2 linked regions of the Xenopus tropicalis genome follow. The protein of the gene in region 1 purifies or fractionates together with the protein of each later gene. This does not show direct contact. Links are inferred from orthologs where the notes say so. Each region holds a gene or a part of one and is shown on either strand. Other genes may lie near its edges. The genes, in order: casp3.2 and cryab.

Region 1 (3,938 bases):
TTGTTTTTTACATTTAAGATATTGTTTTCTTCTATTAAAGGGGAGCTGTTGCTACTGTAATGAAATGTATTTTTTTTCTTTACAGTTGTGTAGATTCATGATTTATTGATGAATTTCTCAACCCATCATGTTTTTCCAGAAGTTCCAACTAATCCCATGGCCCCAAGGTGATATAAGGATCCAGTTCCACATATTTTACACCTCATTCCTTTTCAATAAAAATGTCAAATAAATAGAAATAAAATTTCTATTAAAAAAGCCCCAATACCATTCAAGTTTGTATTATTGAGAAAAAAAATCCACCCCCTGTGCCCATTGACAGGAGAATACTACAGAGTAGGATTTGCTTTCATACTTAACCTCCTCATTATAACTAATTATAACTAATGAATATAACTATAACGTGCAACATATACGTCACCCGACCTTTTCCTTCTCATATCTCCAAACAATGCGCACATCAGCTCCCGCTGCAATATACAAATTTCCCGCCCATTCCCAAACATATTATTACTCCGCCTCTACTGCTGCAAGGTAAAGGCTGGGAGCTATATCATGCAGAAACTGCATTCCCAGAGAATTCGTCTATCGTTTGTCTTCAGCCTCCAGTCACGAACTCCTAATAGCTGCACTAGTTCATTAACTATGTAAGAGCTGGAGACCCAGCAGGAATATCCCTGCCATGGAGATATAGAGGTAACTTCGCCAGCATTCCGCTTCTGATTGGCAGAATGGCGTTACGTCACCAGTTGCTCCGTTTAAGGCCCAGCCCATTGGTCGGAACGTTTCCGTATTGTTCGTTTACAGGTTCCCCTGAGATAGCTTGGGATAGGCGAGCGCTCGACCAATCAGGCTGTCTCTCTGGATTAAACCCCCCTCCCTTACTATTTTGTGTGAGGTCAGCGCTTGTGTTGTTGCTGTCTTGGAAAAACACGCCAGACACAAAAGCAGCAAGGAAGGAACGGAGCAGCCTGTACTGTACTCTCCGCTATAGCCGCCTTGTCTCTGGGTAAGTGTGCACAATCCTAGTGCGGTATTTTTATATACACACATACATAATGTATTTATATGCCCGCCGGGTAGGAAAACAAGTTATGTCGGATGTGCTGTAATGACAAGAGGCGCTACATTCTCTATGTACGTGGCATACACCTTTATAATGTGTTCTTTTCTGCTTTAAATATTCTTTGTACCAGACTTTTGAACACATTGGCACTGAGTACCCAGGCTAGTGTGTGCTAACTAGCTTTTATAAGTTCATTCTTATGTACAGGCAGCCTGTAGTTTCCTGTAAGGCACCTCTATCAGCTCCCGTTGTTCTAATTCGTGTAAGGTAAATTATTAAAAAAAAAACCAACTTCCTATGAGCATATATTTTCTGCAAGCACTTCCTTAAAATAGTAAATTGTTGTTTATTTCTTTCTGAAAGCAGCATGTAAAATTTGAAAATGTTTGATTTTGTGTTTCCATATCAGAATGTTTCCTGGTAGTTATTTTATTGTCTGTTTTTCCTGCCATACCACAGCAGTCCTGTCTTGCTTTATGGCAGGAATTATAGTTACATGCTTTGGTGCAGCTGTGCCCTTTGTCCATATGTGCACATTTCACTAGCATCTAGGCACGTGTTCTAATAAGTAATTATAAAATCATACACTCGTGTACATTTGTGTATGTTGGCCATGGTATGAAACACAAGTAGACCAGGGTGTTGAGTACAGGTGCTTTTTAACAGTCCATGGAACTTAGAGGAAACCATTTACTAATAAGTACAGAACATAGAATAGAATGTTTTTTTCGTGTTTTTGATACATGTATTATTCTGTCACTATGAGCACTGTACAAGCCTCGTGAAAAATCTGCACAGCCCACAAGGGACTTGTACATGTAATAATGTAACTCACTAATGGCTGGCATGGGGTACATTATTCCCTAAGTATCCTGAAGCACACATTTTTCATTTAGATCATAATCCTATAATACACTGTGGTAGAGGGACAGTCTACTTCTTGTACTAGGAAGGTAAAAGATATAGATTGAGTGCTATGTTTTCTGTCCTAATTTTTATTATCCAGTCAGTTTTATTGTATAAGATAAAGATATAATATATATAAAATAACTCCCTTCATATCTAGGTACAGTATATGATCTGTGTCCTCTCCACCACAGAGTGGGCATCTCAGCCCAGTGCCTGTATATTTCAATGTATAGTGTCCCTTTAAGAATGCAAGTTTGTTATTTCTGATATTGAAGTTACAAGTTTACACATGTACCTGTGCAAGGCAAACAAATTGTTGATAAAGTAGATAAGATTATTTTCACTGACCGTGACATGATTCATGTAATAAGTATCATCATTAGCTTGTGGAGGCTTGTGTGTTTGTGTATAAACATCAACATGTTTCATTTCTCTTTGAACCGCTGTGGCGAACCAAAACGCACCGATGTGGTGAATGATGTGAATCATCAATAAACCCTTCTTTTTTCTCCGTGTGTGCTTCCAGTTCGTGGAGATATTTGACTTGTTTGGGAAGCACCCAGAACTTATTTGGAGTGTGGTGAGTACCTGTATCTGTTCTAACTATGTATAACTTATATATAGTGTATTTAGTGTATTCCTATTATCCTTATATTTGACATCACTGAGCTCTATCTATCTAGCTATATCTCTGGTTATTACCACATGCCCTTTCCCTTGGGCAACTTGTTTTTCAACATTGGTAAACTTAACCCAGTCCAATGACCGATTTACATTTGGCAGCCTGGAGCTTTTATTAATCTAGCCTTAGTGAGCTTCTTCTTCAACTTCAAAGCTTTATTACAGGGGACATATAGGAGGAATATTTTATAAGTGGGAAGTCACTTGAAGTCAGTGATAAGTACTTTAAATGTAAAGCTTATATAAAATGTATATAAATACACACACACACTGAAACCGTCAGGATTTAGGAGATCAGAAGTGTTAAAAATTGGGCCTTTGCTCTGATATAAAGTACAGCTGCTAACATTCTCAGATGTTCATGTGAACTGTTGTTGCAAACAGCTGAAGAGTCACTAGTTTTGTCAGCACTGATCTAGGGATGTGGAGAAGGAATAAATGAGCTAAACATGAGGGCAGGAGCCTTGTAAGACTACTGAGGTGAAAGTGTAGGTAGCAGTCAGGGTGTTAGGCATAATAGTAGAAAACAAATGGGCATTTTACTGATGTTTATTTATATGTGTTATTTTAACATCCATGAAGGTGCTTCCCAGTAAGGGATTCATATAGATAGACCCCCCTTCCTTTGCTTCTCAGCATTTGTTGAGCAACCCTTTCCAATAATCATTTCATATATCATGTTATTGTAATTAGAGAGCTGCAGGTTATATCAGTCTGATGAATTATCTTGATAAAGTTTATATTAAAAACCAAGTAACAATTTTGCAAAAAAGCCAGTGGTGTGTGGACTGAGATCCTTGTACAGGTATGGGACCTGTTATCCAGAATGCTCTGGACCTGGGGTTTTCCGCATAAGGGATCTTTCCATAATTTGGATCTTCATACCTTAAGTCTGCTATATAATTAATCCAATAAGGATTAATTATATCTTAGTTGGGATTAAGTACAAGGTACTGTTTTATAATTACAAAGAAAAAGGAAATCATTTTTAAAACTTAGAGTTATTTGCATATAATTGAGTCTATGGGAGATGGTCTTTCTGTAATTCGGAACTTTCTGGATAATGGATTTCCGGATAAGGGATCCCTGGATCTGCAGTGAATACATATTATCTCTCTTCTTTTAGGTCAGCCTATTCTTCCACCCACTTTATTTATCCAGTCATTCTCCTTTATGCTTTGGTAGAGACCCCTTAGGGTTTCCTATGATGTGTTAATATGCACACTCCCCAGGGCCTACCATTCCTAGGCTTCCTTAGTTTACCATGCCCAGTCTAGGTCTG
Region 2 (2,629 bases), on another chromosome or scaffold:
TTTTGGGGTGATACAAAGCTTGCCTTAATAACAGTGCTCACAAAATGGCACCGGCCTGCTGGCTGTGACTACTAATTCCAAGACTGAAGGTGAAATAGTGTAAGTAAAGTTTATTTTGCTCTACTAACCTGATCCAAAAGGATTTGTAATTATTTCTTAGGGTGACAGGTCCCCTTTAAAATAGCAATTTTCTATTTAGGGGTAACCAATGGCACATAATACTAATAAATAAGTATATTTTTTAAAAAATGGTTTATTTAGATGAATCAGGGTTTTACATATAAGCTTGTTTATGCAATATATTTGTAAAGATTTCCCTTAAAGGAGAACTAAAGCCTAATTAAAGAAGGCAGAAATGTTGTACATTATATTTTGGGTTTCTGTACTAGCCCTAGGCAAGCACAGCCCTTTACCAGGGAAGATGTGTGCCTCCAAAGATACCCCAGTAGCCCCCCATCTTCTTTTCTCTATTTTGCTCTGTGCTGCTGTCAGTTACTGAGCTTATGGACCGACTCAAAATATACTGCATAGAGTATAAATGTAACATTAAAAAACTGATTAGTTTTTTTTTGATTCATTCAGATTCACATTACATGACAGATCTAAAACCAAGGCATTTTCATCAGAATTGAATAATCAACCCTGCAGCATCAGCTTACTGTATATGACAACCCCTAAGCTCAGCTTCTCAACAGCCGCTCAGAGCGCACTGAGCACGTGCAGTGTCCCAGACAGTTTCTGGGGGGGAACAGAATCCATGGGAGATGGGGAGCTCCTGTGACAACTGTAACAACCTATATCATTACTACTATAGAGATGCCAGTGGAGTCAGTTTATTATTATAAAATATGGAATTTATAGGCATATTCATTTTTAGGGTTTAGTTTTCAAGGAATTATATTTACAGTTAGCATCTACAAGTATGGAAACCATTATCCAGGAAACCCATTATCTAGAAAACTCTGATTTATGTGAAGGCCATCTCCCATAGGCTCCATTTTAAAAAAAATAATTCCATTTTTCATTGTAATGATAAAACATTATACTGTACTTGATGAAAACAAAGCTTTGTAAATGCATATTAGTGGCACAACAATCCTATTGGGGTTATTTAATGGTTAAATCATTTTTTGCAGACTATGGGGGCCATTTAATAACTGTTGGATTTTTTTTATTTTGATTCGGATTTTTATTGCTAAAAGTTGCAGCAAAAAAAATTGCAACTGTCAAAATAGCTAAAAATCCAAATTCAACAATTTGACAGCTAAATCTTGTTAAGATCATGTTGAAATCAATGGCAGATGCCCCTTTCCTGGAGGATGAGGATGTTTCCCTTCAGAGTTTTCAGATTTTTGACGTTGCTTTTCTGTGCAACAATTCAAAAAAGTTGCAGTTTTCTTACGACAAAGTTGAAAATTCTGAATTTTTGTGACTTTTATGCAACTTTTCCAGTTCAGACTTTTTAGTAAATGTAAGAAATTCATGAAAACGAATTTATTTAAATTTTACAATAAAAAAAATGAGATATTAGTTTTAGTAAATCTGCCTTTTAAGGTATGGAGATCCAAAGTATGTAAAGATCCCTTATCCGGAAAACCTCAGTTCCCAAGCATTCTGGATAACTGAGTCTATATATTTAAATATTATGTTTCAGGATGAACATGGCTATGTTTCCAGAGACTTCCAGCGAAGATACAAAATTCCATCAGATGTTGACCCTCAATCCATCACTTCAACTCTGTCTCCAGATGGTGTGCTGACAGTCTCTGGACCAAGAAAGGTATCTGAAGTCCCTGAACGCTGCATCCCTATTACTCGTGAAGAAAAGGTAGCCATCAGCAGTACTCTTAAAAAGTAGGACCTGTTGACTCTTCCAAGCACCAATGATACCGTTCCACCCTGCCATGATTAAAAGCTCATACTAATCAGATACATGTTTATATGATGCGTTATGACCAAAGCATATTACTACTGCAAATAAAGCAAAGATAAGCATTTGGTTTTGTAATATTGCTTTTATATGAGTAAGGGTATATATATTAAGCCTACTGAGATGCTTTAGAGTTATCCTGTAGCTGACACCAGATTAATAATGTACCTGTTAAAGCAGAAATTTAAACTAAAATGATCCTTTTATTGCTGGTATTATAAGGCAACTGCAACATAAATTCATTTTTGAAATTAACTTTTCATTGTACAGCTTTTCTGTTTGGAATTTCCAAAATTATCTGGTTGCCAGGGTCATTGGCAGTGACTTTAATGACACTATTGGTACATTAAAGGAACAGTAACACCAAAAAATGAAAGTGTATAAAAGTAATAAGAATAAAATATACTGCTGCCCTGCACTGGTACAACTGGTGTGTTTGCCCCAGAAATTTATATAAACAAAGCTGCTGTTTAGCCACGGGGGCAGCCATTTAAAGGAGAAAAGGCACAAGCACATAGGAGATAACAGATAAACACTATTGTATTCTAGAGAGGTCATCTGTTATCTGCTATGTAACCTGTGCCTTTTCTCCTTTTTTCCAACTTTAATGGCTGCCCCCATGGCTACACAGCATAAATATAAACTATAGTAGTATTACTGTACCAACCACACAACTTTTACCAGTGCAGGGTATCAGTA

The links.
Region 2: the proteins of casp3.2 (region 1) and cryab purify together in Homo sapiens (affinity purification with western blotting; 3 studies listed by BioGRID). This does not show direct contact. The link is inferred for Xenopus tropicalis from reciprocal best matches to the Homo sapiens genes CASP3 and CRYAB.

The regions. Positions count from the first base shown.
Region 1 is NC_030677.2:44,844,211-44,848,148, forward strand, and holds the start of casp3.2 (caspase-3), read left to right. Parts: upstream 1-928; 5' UTR 929-1,009; intron 1,010-2,501; 5' UTR 2,502-2,555; intron 2,556-3,938. UniProt on the Homo sapiens protein: Thiol protease that acts as a major effector caspase involved in the execution phase of apoptosis. Following cleavage and activation by initiator caspases (CASP8, CASP9 and/or CASP10), mediates execution of apoptosis by catalyzing cleavage of many proteins.
Region 2 is NC_030683.2:84,496,454-84,499,082, reverse strand, and holds the end of cryab (alpha-crystallin B chain), read left to right. Parts: intron 1-1,654; coding exon 1,655-1,858; 3' UTR 1,859-2,008; downstream 2,009-2,629. UniProt on the Homo sapiens protein: May contribute to the transparency and refractive index of the lens. Has chaperone-like activity, preventing aggregation of various proteins under a wide range of stress conditions.